Neurospora crassa OR74A: one gene and its partner. The protein of the gene in region 1 binds, or shares a complex with, the protein of each later gene. Links are inferred from orthologs where the notes say so. Each region holds a gene or a part of one and is shown on either strand. Other genes may lie near its edges. The genes, in order: gul-1 and cot-1.

Region 1 (8,401 bases):
ACTTTCTGATCTCTCGACGCATATCTCCCATACGGGCTTTAAGCGCCTGATTTGCTTTTGCTTGATCCAACATAGACTTCCGCAGCTCTTTCAGATTTTTGTGTATCACTGCCAATCGGTCAGGTCCTTGTTGCACGGGTGCTGGTGTCGGTGATTTGGCAATGGTCGTGGCCGTGGCGGTTCCATTGACCTGGATATTGTTCCCTAGCAAGTTACTGGTCGCAAGCTGAGAAGAGGCTGCAGATGCAGGCGTTGACTGCTTCAGGGCAGCAGTGGCGGGTTGCGCACTTGTTAGTGTCTGTCCAAATCCTCCAAAAGGCTTCGCTGCAGCCGGTGCAGACGCTGGCTGCAACTCGGGTTGCTTTTCGAAAAGTGTTTTGCCATTGACTTGGGTGGCGGGTGGTTGTGATGGGGATGCCGTTGAGGCAGGTTTCGGGGCTGGAGATGGTGCCTTTGCTGGCTCGAAGTCAGGCAGGACAGGCGGGATCTCGATTTTCTTCGCCTTGAGAGCGTTAAGCTTCCTTCGCTCAGCAGCAAGTTGTTCTTCTGCTCGTATCCTTTCCTCCTCTTTCTTGCGCTCCTCGACCAGACGTTCCTGCTCTTGTCTCAAGAGGTGTTCCTGGTACACCCTCTCGGCCTCCTCGCGTACACGTTCATGTTCCCTCCTAGCGGCCTCAATCAGAAGTCTATGCCGGGCCTCGGAATTGCGGTCTCCAGCAAGAATGTCGGATATGACTGATCGCGAGGAAGGGCTTGCCCACTGGTTGCCGTTTGGGCGAGCGGGGGACGAACCAGCCATCCTGTCGGTGGTTGGATGCGCTGCTGCTTGACAATCCCAGTCACCCGTCACGATTGCCGGACAGGTGGTACACTGGGGAAATTTTCAGGCAGATATATCGCTGCTTGGTTAAAAAAAAAATTGGGTGATGTTAAGGTGATCGTCCGGTGTTGTGTTCGGCTTGACAGTTGCGGAAGGGTACTATGGACACTATCAATTGGAGTTGTACTTTGCGCGCGTCGCGAGTCCAATAGCACTAAGTCCACTCCATGGGTGCGGTTTTAGTATGGCGGCATCCGTCTGTCTTGGTATCTTTACACACTGTGTGTGGTTAGGTGCAGTGGTCCTTGCAGCCGCTTTTGGTGGGGGAGAACGGATGGAAGTGGCACCTTTCTATAAACCAACCTGAAATCTAGCCTTGATGTATTGTTGGCAACAAAAACCTACCTACCTGTGTAGATATCACAAAGCGGCTTTGGCATCTATAACCCAAATTTAGATGTCTGCTCCTGCTGTGTTACGCTGAAATATCTCCAGGTCCTCGGGCGTCCGTATAAATTACAAAGTGATGGGAACAGTCAAGAGAAAGGGCTTCGGAGGTACAGCTCTTTGAAGTCGCCATTGTATGTACTTACGAAGCTAAGCTAAGGCAACGTGCTATTGACATCTCAAACGAACTTTAATGCAGGATGTGTGATGAATCAAGGATTCATCTTTTCATCGCAAGTTACTGCATAGGTATTACTTTGATCCATTGGTGCTGTGGACAGCAAATATCGTCAAGAAGGTCAGCTTGTGGTCTTTGTATATGGCAGATAGCAACTCCATTAGTTCCCGCAGGTATCCGTGTCTCTCTTCTCTTCAACCTCTTTTACGAATCGTACCGTCATCCAAAGACACAGACCCCCAAAGCCTGCCGGAGCTTCTGACACGGGAGACACGGCTGTCGTCTTGCAGTATGCGGTGTACTCGCGTCGATCCAGGGTTTAGGGTATCACCATCACCATTGACGTCTTCCCTGTTACGCCGGCAAGGCCAGTCCATATTCCCCAGGTGATGCCGGGCACATCATGATATGGGTTGGCGATCCTCTTTCCGACCACCGTTGAGTTTCCCCGAGAGAAACGTTCGAGCACGTATCTTCGAGTACATCTCGAGTTTGTCGTCCCTGTCCCTGTGCAGACACATTCGTGACAGGGAAGCATCGCCCAGCATACGCCATGTTTGAGATATCCTGAATCTAAACTAAATGAGGTATGGGGTAAAGACGATTAGCGGGAGTGTCCACTTCTGCCATTTGTGATTTTCCCGAGTCTGCTGAGGAACCGTTTCCCCACTGGCATCGTTGATTGGTGTAGGTAGTGTAGCTTCCCCCGGATGCTCCTGTCGCGGTCCTCGACTCTTCGAAGCTCTTGGCTATTGAACAGAAACTCCAGAAGTAGGTATGCAGTGGATGTCATGAGTGCAGATTTCCTTTTGAACAAAGGCCAGGAAGAAAAGACGGTTTTATAAAAGGGGCTCAAAGGTTACTTCATTCAGTAGTAGTTGGGTTGTAAGTGGAAGGGAAGAGGAGCACGGTGTGTCGCGCACATGGGGTATCCGGTGCACCACCCTCACACCCTGCGTGCTTGCACCTATCCTGGCGCTACTAACGGTAGCCCACCACTTCAGCCAACTGCCCAGCACCGCCGCTGATAGGTGCAACTGAAACCGTAAGAGATGCCTGCCGTGAACCCGGACCTTCCATGCTCCGCCGCCGCACCGTGTACACCTGCAGCATGCGCCTCCAAGGAGGGACGGACCTCACTCACCTCAGCAGGACGGACTGCCAGGCGGGCGGGCACCATCCTGTCCCGTCGTTTCCCTCTCACGCATCAGTTCGTCACTAGCATGTAGTCTAGGTGAGGTAGGTACCTCTAGGTAGATACTCTAGGTACAACCTAGCCAGCCCAGGATGCCCGCCGAAGGATGGACCTTTCGGGTTCCTCTCGCTGACTGCCGCTGCGGCGCTGAAAGTGCTCTGCTCCTCCTCCTCCTCCTCCTCTCAGGTCCAAGGCCCAGTCCTCCTGACTTCCTATAGCACCGAACCTCTTTCTCCCGTCCTCCGACTCCTCCTCCTCCTGCACTCTCCCTTTCCCCTTCCCTCCTCACGAACCTCAATCCGCATCGGCTTCAGGCTTCCCTCTAGCTTCAACGTCAACTAGCAAAGCCGGACACCTCCCTCCCTTCTCTCTACACTCCCTCGTAGCAACTTTTCAATCTCTCATTATAACCTCTTTGGACTTGATTTCTTTCATCCAATCCGCTTTAACTGCGAAACAAAACTGTCCTTTGGGGCGACGTCTCCGCACCGCAACCAAACATACCGCAACTCCCATCGCATCTGATGCATCGCAACGGCAATCCGGCCACACAAAAAAGATAAACCCAGCTCAATAACCTTCCCCCTCGTCTCTGTTCGGTCGACCACGCCTCGATTCGATTCGACTCGACTCGACTCGACTCGTCTCGTGCTCTACTTTACTACTTCTTCACACGCTTTAGGTCCAACGCCGACTTCGCCTTGCATTCGCACTCGACGTGCACGTTTTCTGCCTGGATCACCCGAGTCATCTGCACCTGTCCGTCCCAACAACCTGCATCATGGATCAGCAACAGCAGCCTCAAGGAGGCGTCTCTGGCCCCGCCGGCCGACGGCTCCATATCGCCCATCGAAGAAGCCCGTCGGAGCTGACCCCGTTGATGAGTATGTTTTCAAACACGAACAGTATGTTTTGAGTTTTGCTATTGTCATCGCCATTGCCATCGTGTACTATCGCGGCGCCCCTCTACCGCTCTTGCACTGGTCCGTTCTTGTTCGTGGCGAAAAGCTTCAAAAGCCAATGATCGTACCCCTGACCCCGTCGCGTTCCCGTCTTGTGTCCTGACTGTAACCCCTCATCCCCCTCTTCAATGCGCTGGCGTACTGACTGGATCTTTTTTTCGGTGCAGTGGAACAGCTTGCCATCCAGCAGCAGATCGAACTCCTTCAGCAGCAGCAACAGCAGATTACAGCTCAATATGCCAACCTCGGCATGCTTCCGGCCACGCAACCCCTGGGCCCTGGCGGATTCACCAACTTCCAGCCCATTGCCGGTTTGGCGCCTCAGGCGGGCTTCCAGTTCCCGGTCCAGCTGCAGCAGCAGCCGCCCCTAGCTCCTCCTACACAACCGCTTTCACATCGCCGTAATCAGTCGGCCATTCCAAACATGGGCATGGGGGGCCCGCCGCCTGCTCCCTCTGCCGGCGCCTCTGGTTCGACGTTCGGCAACTTCCAAGATCCCACCCAGGGTCACGCCCGAGAGAACAGCACCGGCGGTCGTGGTGGTCGGGGTGGATCCGGCGGCGGTCATCAGAGAAGACATTCCTTGGCCTTGGCTGATGCCAAGAAGGCCGCCGAGATCGCCCAACAGAAGCGCACGACGTCTACCTTCCAGTTCCCTGCTGCTCCTGCCCCTGGCTCCTCCGAGAAGTCTGAGGATGATGCCAAGACCACCCCGAGCACCACTCCTGCTCCGGCGGAGGGCCAGATAGCTCAGGGATCGTCGTTCCGTGGCGGTCGTGGCGGCCATGGCAGGAGCCAGAGTATGGCTGTTGGTGCCAATGGCCGTGGTGGCCGCGGAGGCCATTTCTCTACCGACTCCGTGGGCCAAGGCAGCGACTTTTCCCGCCGCGCTCCTGGTAGCGGCCATGCCCGCACTGGTTCCCGCAACTTCGACGGCAACTGGAGGAACCAGAACCAGAACCAGAACCAGAACCAGGCTCAGGACCAGACCGCTGCCCTTCCTCAGAGCCAGGGCTTCCAGCCCGGTCACCGCAGCCGCGGCTCGGTGAGCCAGTCCATCTCTTCGATTGGATCCTTCCAGTATCCTGGACAGCCTCAGCTGGTTCAGTTCCCCGGTCAGATGATGATGCCCCAGGTTTTCCCTGGCCAACAACTCAATCCGATGCAGCTCAACCAGCTTCAGGCTCTTCAGCTTGCTCAGATGAATGGTCAGCCACTTACCGGTCTTGCCGCCAGCCAGCACGCTCCTCAAATGGCTGCTCCTGGTCAGCAAAGCCAGCAACAGCAGCGCAAGACGCTTTTCACTCCTTACCTTCCCCAAGCTACTCTTCCTGCCCTCTTGGGTAACGGCCAGCTTGTTTCTGGTATTCTTCGCGTGAACAAGAAGAACAGAAGCGATGCGTACGTCTCGACGCAGGATGGCCTGCTTCCCGCCGATATCTTCATCTGCGGCAGCAAGGATCGCAACCGTGCTCTCGAAGGTGATCTCGTTGCGGTCGAGCTGTTGGATGTTGGTGAAGTGTGGGCGCAGAAGCGCGAGAAGGAAGAAAAGAAGAAGCGCAAGGATATTACCGACACTCGTTCTGGCTCCATTAGTGGAGGCCAAAATACTGGTGACGACAATGGCAACGCTGAGGGGGGACTCCGCCGCCGTGGCAGCCTCAGACAGCGTCCTACCCAAAAGAAGAACGACGACGTGGAAGTTGAAGGTCAAAGTCTTCTTTTGGTTGAGGAAGAGGAGATCAATGATGAGCAGCAGCCTCTCTTTGCTGGTCACATTGTTGCTGTTATTGAGCGTGTTCCCGGCCAAATGTTTTCTGGTACCCTTGGTCTGCTCCGCCCGAGCAGTCAGGCTACGAAGGAGAAGCAGGAAGCTGAACGCGCTGCGAGAGACGGTGGCAATGGCCGCCAACAAGACTCGCGCTCCCACGAGAAGCCCAAGATTGTTTGGTTCAAGCCCACGGACAAGCGTGTTCCTCTGATTGCCATTCCTACCGAGCAAGCACCCAAGGACTTCGTGGAGAAGCACCAGGACTATGCGGACCAGATCTTCGTGGCTTGTATCAAGCGCTGGCCCATCACTTCTCTGCATCCGTTTGGTACCCTCGTTGAGAAGCTGGGCAAAATGGGTGATCTTAAGGTTGAGACCGATGCCCTCCTTCGTGACAACAACTTCGCGTCCGACGAGTTTGCTGAGGCTGTTTTGCGCAACGTCAGCCAGCAAGACTGGTCGCTTGAAAGTGAGGATCAAGCTGCTCTTGCCGCTCGCCGTGACTTCCGTGGCGAGAATGTGTTCACTGTTGAATTAGATAGCTCTGTCGAGCTTGGCAACGGTGTTCATTTCAAGCAGTTGCCTGACGGCAAGATCGAAATTGGTATTCACGTTCCCGATGTCGCCCACTTCGTCAAGCCCGGCTCACTCGTTGACCGTGAAGCTAAGAAGCGCGGTACTGCGGTCCATCTTGTCAACCGCTTCTGTGCCCTTCTCCCCCCCAAGCTGTCGAGCGAGCTTTGCACCCTCACTCCTGAACAGGATCGCTTGACTTTTAGCGTTGTGTTCCACGTCAACCCCCAGACTGGCGCGGTGGCCGAAGGCGACACCTGGATTGGAAAGGGTATCGTCAAGAGCGGCGGGAAGGTGTCGCTCAGCGAGATCGATGAAGCCATTTCCGGTAGCAGCGGATTCTCCCATCCATCTGTGAAGGCCCTGGACATCCAGATTCTCAACGCTGTCGCCCAGAAGTTCCGTGAAGCTCGCTTGGGCGCCGGTGGCGAACCCATTGCGCCTCTCCGTCTCCTCCAGCAACTTGATGATGAGAACATCCCGCCTAAGCACAACATTTTCGAGTCTAGCCAGGCCACTGAACTTGTCGAAGAGCTTATGCACAAGGCCAACACCCATGTTGCCCAACGTCTGGCGCAGGGACTCCCGGAGAAAGCCCTTCTGCGCAGGCAGTCTGCTCCTAACTCCCGCCGCCTACAAACTATCATTGACCGTATGACTGCTTTGGGCTACGACATTGACGCTACTAGCAGTGGTACCCTACAGAATAGCTTGTTCAAGATTGACGACTCTGACATCAGAAAGGGTATGGAGACCCTCCTCGTCAAGTCTATGCAGCGCGCCAAGTACTTCATTGCGGGCAAGACTGCCAGTCTGCTTTGGCCTCACTATGCCTTGAACTTACCCCTCTACACTCATTTCACGTACCCCACCAGGCGCTACGCCGACATCATTGTTCATCGTCAGCTTGAGGCTGTTCTTTCTGATGGAAAGATTGAATATACTGAGGATTTGGAGAACCTTGTCAAGACCGTAGAGTCTTGCAACACCAAGAAGGATTCGGCTCAAAATGCTCAGGAACAGAGTGTTCACATCGAATCTTGCCGCACCATGGATAAGAAGCGGCAGGAGGTTAATGGCGACCTGATCAGCGAGGGTATCGTCATTTGTGTGTACGAGTCTGCCTTCGACGTCCTCATTCCGGAGTGGGGCTTCGAGAAGCGTGTCCACTGCGATCAGCTTCCTCTAAAGAAGGCCGAGTTTAGAAAAGAGAAGAGAGTTCTTGAACTCTACTGGGAGAAGGGTGTTCCCAGCTCCGCCTACGTTCCTGAAGATGAGCGCCCCAAGGCCGCCGCTTCTCAGCGCATCTCGAATGCTCTCGCTGCTGCTCGCCAGGCTGAGGAGGCCGAACGCGCTAAGAAGGATCGCGAGGAGGCTGCCCGCAAGCAGATCGAGACTGGTACCGTCTCGCACGATGATGTTGACGCTCTGTTCCAGGACGAGGACGAGGACGACATCGAGGACAATGCCTCTGATATCACCGAGGCCATGGCCGGCGCATCTCTTGCGGAGCGCCCGACTCAGAGCGTGCCTGGCTCACCTACTCAGTCTGCGGCTGAGGCCGTCGGTACCCTCCACCGTACTCGGTCTGATTCGAAGGTGCCCGTCGGTGAGGCGCCCGAGGCTCGCTTGACCAACAAGGAGAAGTACTTGAAGCTCTTCAAGCTCCGCGAGGAGGGTGGCGAGTACATCCAGGATGTGACGGAGATGACCCGTGTGCCTGTCATCCTCAAGACCGACCTTTCCAAGAGCCCACCGTAAGTTCTACATCCCTTCTCCCCTTACAACATGCACAACTGACCAAAAACACAGGTGCCTGACCATCCGCTCGCTCAATCCCTATGCCCTCTAAATGATCTGATGCTTTGGAAAGAAGATGCGCAGCAGTGCAGGAACGGTTAAGATGACTTGCCTTAATGTCCGTCGTCATGTGGAGATTTTGTCAAACAAGTAGGAAGAACGGATGATGTATGATGTGTTAGAAAGCAACGTCTTCAAGATTGTTATGCGGGTGTATTCCTTTGTTGATGATATGGTGTGCATCTCTTATAGTCTGATGGCTTATTCGCGAAGGTGTTATCACACTCAACATGGATAACTTGGCGGGTGGCAGCTATGTGACAGAAAGGGACCCCTATGGGAGTATCAATCATAATTTGGCTACCTATAATAGCTTTGGTGACGGGGGGATGAATATGTTATGATGAGGATCAGTAAGACAGCAGAAGCCGAGTACAGACATAAATTATAATTATTTGATGAAGTGAAAAGAATGCGGAATATAGTCAATTAGGCGGCGTGGCTATTCGGCAGAATCAAGCTTATCGCAAGTGCAAATGTGCTGACGTCGGAAACATTTCAGCATGTGCTGAAGCTTTACCCATGCCGAGTGTGGGCGACAAGGGGTGTATACACATCGTGGAACATCTTTTTCCAGCTCGGCATCCATGTCTTC
Region 2 (8,487 bases), on another chromosome or scaffold:
TACCCGACTAGCGGTAAATACCATAATTATGGTAATTTTCATGAAAAAATGCCTCATTTTTTCATTTTTACAGGTCATGTGACTGAAATCCGACATTTTTCAGTGCTTTTAGCTGTCAGACTGGCCACCCAAAATCGTGATTTTCACCCAAAATCGCAATTTTAGTATAAATCGTATTTATCTATAGATAAATGCCAGTACTAGGTTTTACTATTATTATAGGCCATATAGTGCAAAGTGCAAATACTATATTTCGTAACTATCTCCCTCGTCTATATACCCTCTCTTTGAGCTATTAGGCTCCCTCCTCCTCTCTCCTATCGTTTTAATCGCTTTATTATATATATTTATACAACTACTCCTCGATTTGCAATAGCAGGTTGTTCTTATCTATAGCGGATAAACTAGTAAAAGATTGTTAGAGGTTTTTAAGCTTCCTCCCGTTTATATAAACGAATATAATTATATCTATTTTATCGGCGGCGAGGTGGTTGCGCCTTAGATTCTTTAAATAATTTATAGTAGAGAAGGCGCGCTTATACGGTATACTATTGGCTGGGGTATTGAATACCCTTACTGCGAAGGGGGTAATAATAGAGCCTTTATTAAAGAATATACTCTAGAAGGATATAGGGTTAATATCTTTATAATCCTAAATACGCTAATTTAGTAAATATATCCCGTAGCGAGTTCTAAATTATAAAAAGTCCTATACCAACCGCTCCTCTATAACGTTATATAAAATACGAATATATAACTTAATAAAATTTAATATTAAGGTAGTAAAATTAGGGACGGGGGGATAAACGCTAACTACTATATTTTATATAGTATTTAAGTATAGGAGGAAGTTTAGCTAATTTAATGGAGTTAATTATCGTTATTTTCGAAGTATATAGAGATATTTGAATTTATATTAATCGTTTTAGTAGAAGGATATATAGTCGGCCTCCTATATAGTATATATAGTACTCCACCGTAGTATTACGTAATTAACGGTCGCTCTATCTACCTCTAATATTAATTAAACTTTATAAAATAGTTTTATAAACCTTTCAAAAGTTTTAAAACCGTACTAGAACCCCGCGTTCTTAATAATATTAAATATTTAACTTATACGTATAAATTTATTTTATACGGGTACCGCCGGGGGTAGAAGGAGTATTACTAGGAGTAGACTGCCTTATTAAAAGTATTAAGGTTAAAGTTAAAAGGGGAGACGGGGGGGGTCTTAATACTAACTATTATTAAAGCGGGTTTGCTAGGTAAATATAGTAAGGGTAGGCTTTATACGTTATACTAACTATAGAAATCTATATTATAAACCCCATTTAGTAATTATATTAATTTTATTAATATATAGTATAAATATTAAAAATAGGAATAATTTTATACTTACTTTACTAATATTAAAATAAGTTTACTATAGTATATTATTATTAATCCTTTAAAATAAGCTAATTGTAACTTCGAAGTACAAAAGAAATTAATTATTATAGAAATTTAATAATTTAATACTCTAAATAGTAGTAGAGTAAGCAAATTTTTCATTAGTAGCTAAAGTAAATGTAAATCGTATAATACTAGAAATACTTAAGTAAACCGCCTAATTATTAGGGTATATATTATATACCGGACTATAGTATATATATTGGTAATAAAGCTATTAATTTTAATTAGGATATTAATTATACTAGTATATACTTCTATAATAAGACCGGCGAAGTTTATAGCAGTATATTCGATAGTTTAAATATATTAGTTATATTAGAAGAAAGTACTTCTATTATTAGGTATAGAGAAGAAGATATTAATAATTTATTTATTAGTATAATTATTTAACTTATTAAAGAATATATTAATATAATTCGTTCTATCGATATACTTCTCTTTTATCTATACCCTTATTTAATTATAAATAAGGAGTAACTAATTATTTATAATAGAATTCATATTAGGTAGAATATACGAAGGTATAATAGTATAGAGAAATACCCTTATAGAGGATAATTCAAATAAATTAAATAGTCTACCGTTAATAAGGATAGTTTTAGCGGCGTACTAGTTAATTTTCTTTACTTGAGTAGGATTTAGCGATACAATATAATTACGGATATCCTTACAATATTCAATTCATTAACAAAAGCGGTAATATTAGTAGAGTTGATACTCGGTATCGAAGTATTGGCGTATACGGGTAACATTCATTGCGGCGCGCTATTAGTAATAATTGTAAATAGCAATCTAGTTCGCGCGCCCAAGCTCGTCGATAAGGGCGAACTTTCTAATTATAGCCTCGGTTCGACCGTTTCGTATCGCGGGCATAGTATTGAGGGGTTACTAGATTAAATCTAGTAAATCTAATAATACTAGGAAGCTAATCGGTATATTAAACGGTATAGAATTGAGGCGCCCAGCAGTATGGAAGTTGATGCCCAACCTGGAAGTTGGGGTGCACGGACTGTGGCACGGACTACTGAATTAGCGGTAATTTCAGAAAAAATGTAATTACGTGCAAAAATGCATCATTTTCAGTATGGATGGATCTCTACATTTGGTAGCTTTGAGCAGGCGCAAGTTGTATTTTAACTTGGGCAAGCGAATGCTCGATTCGGTTACTAGATATGCAAACATCTCCATCATCACGCCATACGCAACGTTCATGTCTCTTGCCGCTTTTATTCTCCCCCGTTGCTCGCTTCAGGGCTTCCCAGTTCCTCGCCCAGAAGATGCAGTCCATACATTATGTTTCTGTACTTATTCAGCCATATATGCGGAACGGAAAATTCGCGTACTATCAGCAAAGTGTCTCTGCCATCAGAAATTTCAACAGCACCGCGAGCTAGCAAAGACGTCAAAGCCAAGTATAAGGGGTACCCAGATACTGCCGCCCCGCAGCACAACCTCTTCTCCCTTTCGCCATCACTATTACGCCCCCTTCCTCCCCCCCAAGAAAACCAACGCTCATTATTCAGACAGCGAGAAGACGTAACGCAATTATCGGAAGTTGTTGTCGAAACGCTTGAACGTGTATCCAATGAAAGGCAAGCTGAGTTCTGGGCTCTCCTCCTGCTGCGCAGGGGCAGCGGCGCCCCTAGCGGCCTGCTGAGCCTTGAGCAGCGTGGCGTTATCCGTCTGGTCAATCTCGTCCGTAGGGAAGTATGTGGTATCGATGGCGGATGTAAGACGGGGCTCGAAGGGCGCACGGATGCGACGCAAGCTGTCGAACTCAACGCCGCGGAAGAAGGCGTGGCTCTTGATTTCGTGAGCACCACCACGGCCGAGACGGTTCTCAGTGTTGCAGATGAGGCTATGACAAGTCAATATGGTGAGCGCGTGATTTTGGGGGAAGTCAAAAGCATGCATACCTTCTGATAAGGTTCTCGGCATCTACACCAAGGGTGATGTCATCCGGGAAGTAAAGCGAGTGCCTCCAGTTCACGATCTTGCGGTAAGTGTCGTGGCTATCCTCGGCGCAGAAAGGAGGCCAGCCGACCAAGCACTCGAACATGATGGTACCCAAAGACCACCAATCGCAATCAAACGAGTAACCATGGCCAGTGAAGATTTCCGGAGCAATATAATCTGGTGTACCGACGGTCGAGTAGGCCATCAAACGTCTGGAGCGTCTCCAGTCATTGATCTGTGCACGGTTGCTGACCGTCAGGTTGATTTGGTCAATAGCAACCGAGTTGCGGTTGTCGCGCGGCTTGTTGGATTTGCCCTGGAGCAGTTGTGTGTAGTAGTTGTTATCATGGAGCTTGTGGAAGCCGGTAGAGAGACCGAAATCTGTAAGCTTGACATGACCACCCCTATCAAGAAGGATGTTGTCTGGCTTAATATCTCTGCATGCACAACCGTGTCAGTATCTCTTTTCCAGAGCATTGCTTCCGGCGAAGCTTACCTGTGAATGAAGCCCAGCTTATGGACCGCGTCGATAGCCAAGACGATTTCGGCAATGTAGAAACGGGTAATATCCTCCGAGAAGATTTCGTATTTGATCAGCATGGTCATCAAGTCACCACCGGGCAAGAACTCCATGAGCATGTAAAGGAAGTTCGCATCCTGGAAGGTGGTGTAGAGCTTGACAACCCATGGGCTGTCCGACTCGGCCAAGATATCTCTTTCTGCTCGGACGTGGGCAAGCTGGTCCTTCTTGAACATTTCCGTCTTGATAAGCGACTTCATGGCGTAAACCTTGCCGTCGGCCTTCTTCTGCACGAGCTTGACCTCGCCGAAAGCGCCCTTGCCGATGATCTTGATGGTCTGGTAGTTCTCGGGCTTGTCCTTGGTTCTCAGGAAGCGCAAATACTGGCCCTCCTTCCGGCCAGCGGTTGACCAGATCGATTCGCGACGGCGGGCATCGTTGGTCTCACCGAGCTTCTGCTCCATCTCGCTCTGTCTGAAAAGGGTGTCAGCACCGATCACGGCGGGATGTAGGGGCAAAAGCGCATCGCTGCAGCATTCACCTCTGGTTGCGCTCCCTGGCGCGCTTGACGCTGTCCTTAAAGAAGTCAGAGGCCAGCTGTGAGCACTTCTTCTGGTTGTTGTTGGCATTGGGGCCATATTTGTCGGGGTTCCGCTCGGGAGCGGGAGCGAACTCGGTCTGGGTATTCGAAGGCATCGGGGCGCTCAGATAGTTGCCGTAGGTTTGCTGCTGGCCAGAGTTTCCGGATGTGCGAGGGCGTTGAGCGGGAGATGGGCCACGAGAACCGTAGGGAGAGGCTCTTCCGGCGCTGCCAATGTTCTGATGGGCGAACTGGTGGGCGAGACCAGTGTTGGGGTCGTTGCTAGTACCGTCAATGTTAGAATGAGCTTGAACGAAGCCGTAGTCGGCGGCACCAGGAGGGGCGTAGTGGCTGGCATACTGGTTCTGTTGATAGTAGTTGCCGGACTGGGCGTAGGCCTGGTTGTACTGCTGGGAACCACCGGCTTGTTGACCTGGGAAGACGGGTTGGGGGAAGGTGGACGGGGTGGTGGGATAGGTACGATCGTTTGGAGCCATGCGGGTATCGTTGGTGCCCAGGTTGAGATGGGGGCGGTTGGTGTTGTCCATCTTGGTACCTTGTCTCTAAACGGTAAACAGTGGATTCCGGGTGTATGTAGCGGGAAGGGCGCAAGCGAGCTCAGACGAGATTCCGAGGGACGGCAGATGGAGAAACGATCAGAGTCGAGCTCCCAGACCGATCGATGGGATCTATGCGCACAGAAAGGGGTTTGTGTACAAGACGGGATAGGTATGGGGAGACGGGAGGAAAGGAGGTTGCTTTTTCTTGGGACCAGGGTCCAACGAGGATCGAACGACGGTTGGCTACTGTAGATGGTAGGGATGGGAATCGAGGGCGGCCAGGCTGGGGGGGCAGGTGGTTGAGTGGCACCGTCCGAAGTGGAAGTGTCCCGCTGGAACGTGCAGTCGATAGGCGCAGTGTGGAAGTGGAAGCAAAGTGGAAGCGTGACCGACGTGAGCCTCTCCAGCCTACCTACAGGAAGGAGTCTGACAGGAGAGCACTGGCTGGAGGCGATTCAGGGCGCTGTAATTCGGAGAACCTAGGTACGGACGAATCAGACAAACGGAAGGGAAGCAGGTGGGGCAGGGTCCCTGCGGTATCAGTATAAATAAAGACCTAGACGTATAGAGGTGACATGGAACCTAACAGATCCCATCTATAAGTGACCAAGACATAGACTGTGATGATATGAGACAGCCACGGGCGCATTCAAAGGACACCTTGAATAACAACAGACAACTAGGAGCATCTTTACGTTTCCGTTTTCTGTTGCCACAGGAAGCTGGCCTCGATGTGAATCTAGTACACGATGCCCAGGAATAAGGAGGTCGTAGAAAGAGGGGTTCCATGTTTGGGATGACATGCCCAGGTCCAGTGGTGAGCTCCAGGCCGAAACAGGACCACCTAACTATGGGGTGCCCTGGTCAACCTGAAAACCCCTGACTCCAACCTCATCGTCAGACGTCAACTCGTTGCTGTCTGTTCCGCACTGCTGCCATCTTCTCGTGCCTCACAAGCACACTATAGGTAAACCACCAGTCCCCCGAGTGTTGAAGCTCGACGCAACGGCATTGGACCTCGAGAGCATCGAGACTCTGGTCCGGGAATTTGTTACTGGCTGGGAGCGGGCACTCCCGGGTCTGCAATTGATCGAAGGGGCATCCTGGTGGAGCTGAAGGTGGGGTGAACACGCTTAGCGCCATCGACACCGCATCTTCCCTGGGTGCTCCTGTTCTTTCAGGGGTTGCAGCGTCTCGGAACAGTTGTGCCCATTGATCACGCAAGAGGTCATCATGATCGCTGACAGCACATGAAGCCCAAGTCGCCACGACCGAGTATACAATTGTCTACTGTAGAGACATCCTCTACGATGCTTCAGCAGAGAATCCAGGGAAAGTAAGAACACGGAACAGGTAGCCCGACTTATACAAGCTCAGGTACCCTTTGCAGACGCTTTTAGAACCTATAGTTCTGGCTCAGAAAGATGGAACCTGCTTCAATAGGGCTGACTAAATTCCCCAACTTATGAGAGTAAAGTCCAGACATGAGACTATCTTGGAACTCTCAAGATAAAATCTTGGGCCGTTCCAAGTCTGCGTGGTCTGCATTTATACACTAAAAGTTAATTCAAGTGTCACTGGCATGACGTGCGGTTGACCTTCGCATATGGCCCGTGCACAACCACTAAACGCGATGAAAGATGCAGGTGGGTGCCGCCGCGGGAATGGCTTATCGGCTTATCGCGATAAGAAAGTGTGTCCGGGAATTTTGGCAGTCGGGTGCTCCGCTGCACCGGCCCCAAGGTCCTCAACGGAGCTCCTACGGAGTCGCTGTCCGTAGTCCGTACAATCGTTACGGAATCCCGTCGTCCTCTTCAAGTTGTCTTCCAACTGTGACGCCCCCCGCGAGAACCACCCCCCGATCTCTCCCTACGATACCCCTCGCGCCGTCACAGTAAGCTGCATGCGCCCGTAATTGCGCAAACTCCATCACCACACGACATACATCAGAGTAATAGCATCAGCCGGCGCAACACTTTATACCATGGCCGACCCAGTACCCCCGGCGTCCACTGCGCCGCCTGCCGCTCCGGCTGCAACTACGGCTACAGTATGTTACACTTTGGCTCCTTCGCACTTCATCGTATTTCTGAATATTATGGCTCACATCACACCTAGCCTCCTCCTCCTCCTCCTCCTCCTCCTCCGAAAGCCCTGAGGCCGCAGAACCAGGCACTTCGCATGCTCGGTCTCCCTAACCTGCCCAACAAGCTCCCCTCCCGAAATTGGATGATCTTCTGGACCGTCTCGGCCTCCATCACAGCTGCAATTATTTACGACCGCCGCGAGAAGAGGCGAAACATTGCGAAATGGAGACACGCCGTCGAGCACCTGGCTGCCGAACCCATCACCGATAAACTCGGTCTTGAACAGCCGCGCAAGCTGACCATCTACCTCTCCGCCCCGCCCGGCGACGGCCTGCGCGTCGCTCAGGATCACTACACAGAATACGTCAAGCCTGTTCTGGCCGCCAGTGGCTTGGACTGGGAGTTTGTGCAGGGCCGCCGGGAAGGCGACGTGCGCGCCGTAGTCGCAGAAAGATTGCGCAAGGTGCGCCGTGGCTGGGAGAACAAAGAGGAGCAGGACCCCAACCGCGAGCCTACCAAGGACGAGTTGATAGAGATCTACCGCCAGCAGCGCGGCATCAAGGACTACGAAGGTGTTCGCGGCGATGTTGTCATTGGCCGTCACACATGGAAGGAGTACCTCCGGGGCCTGCACGAGGGTTGGTTAGGGCCGCTGGTCGCGCCCGCTGAGCCTGCGCCACTCCCTCCCACACCCGCACCCGCTGCGGCCGAGGGTAGCACATCTACAGAAGACAAGCCCGCGGAGGAGAAGAAGGAGGAGGAAGCCCCGAAGCCCAAGCGCCCACCCCAACCCAAGCCATACAACACGACCTCCGATTACTCGTCCGAGACCCTTCATCCCCTGACGCCACAGGAACTCACCCCTGCGGTCCCTATCCGTGAGCCTCACATTCTCGGCTTCCTCAACACCCCTACACGCATGGTCCGATTCTTCAACCGCCGCTCACTCGCCGACGACATCGGCCGCGAAGTCGCCGCTGTGTGCCTGGCAACCCACCGCGAGTTCCAGCAACAAACCAACCCAGACGCGCCTTCTACCGATTCGGTGCAGTATGAGCAGGCGAAGGAGCTCGAGTGGGAGGAGCAGGACTGGCCCAAGAAGGTATGGAAAGAGGATGAGGCCGATGCCGATAAGGAAGTGACGGAAAAGATCCATATCAAGCCCGTGGTTATGGACCCAAGACTTGCGCACCGCATGAGGAGGTTTGCCTTGACGCCCGAGGACGAGGATCGGGTGAGCAAGATTAAAGTGCCCGAGGAGGAGGTCGAGGGCTGGATCAAGGGTTCATTGAGGAAGGCCTGTCATTGGGGCTATGACAAGGCCTTCAACAA

Evidence for each region.
Region 2: the proteins of gul-1 (region 1) and cot-1 are in contact, whole or in part, in a crystal structure (PDB 5NCL), measured with the Saccharomyces cerevisiae proteins. The link is inferred for Neurospora crassa OR74A from reciprocal best matches to the Saccharomyces cerevisiae genes SSD1 and CBK1. Residues at the interface, in NP_010579.1 of Saccharomyces cerevisiae: Phe211, Lys212, Phe213, Pro214; in NP_014238.3 of Saccharomyces cerevisiae: Asp450, Val451, Arg453, Phe454, Phe672, Arg673, Gly674, Val675, Ile680, Glu684, Ala685, Pro686.

Annotation. Positions count from the first base shown.
Region 1 is NC_026505.1:3,209,277-3,217,677, reverse strand, and holds gul-1 (cell wall biogenesis protein phosphatase Ssd1), read left to right. Parts: upstream 1-2,795; 5' UTR 2,796-3,421; coding exon 3,422-3,545; intron 3,546-3,769; coding exon 3,770-7,703; intron 7,704-7,758; coding exon 7,759-7,798; 3' UTR 7,799-8,241; downstream 8,242-8,401. Other genes in the region: gle-1 protein, read right to left, coding at 1-799. UniProt on the Saccharomyces cerevisiae protein: Can suppress the lethality due to deletion of SIT4, and partially the defects due to BCY1 disruption. Is implicated in the control of the cell cycle G1 phase.
Region 2 is NC_026504.1:4,481,629-4,490,115, forward strand, and holds cot-1 (serine/threonine-protein kinase orb6), read right to left. Parts: upstream 5,694-8,487; 5' UTR 5,057-5,693; coding exon 4,869-5,056; intron 4,791-4,868; coding exon 4,470-4,790; intron 4,403-4,469; coding exon 3,905-4,402; intron 3,846-3,904; coding exon 3,369-3,845; intron 3,311-3,368; coding exon 2,998-3,310; 3' UTR 2,535-2,997; downstream 1-2,534. Other genes in the region: tim54 (mitochondrial import inner membrane translocase subunit tim-54), read left to right, coding at 7,053-7,118, 7,187-8,487. UniProt on the Saccharomyces cerevisiae protein: Protein kinase that seems to play a role in the regulation of cell morphogenesis and proliferation.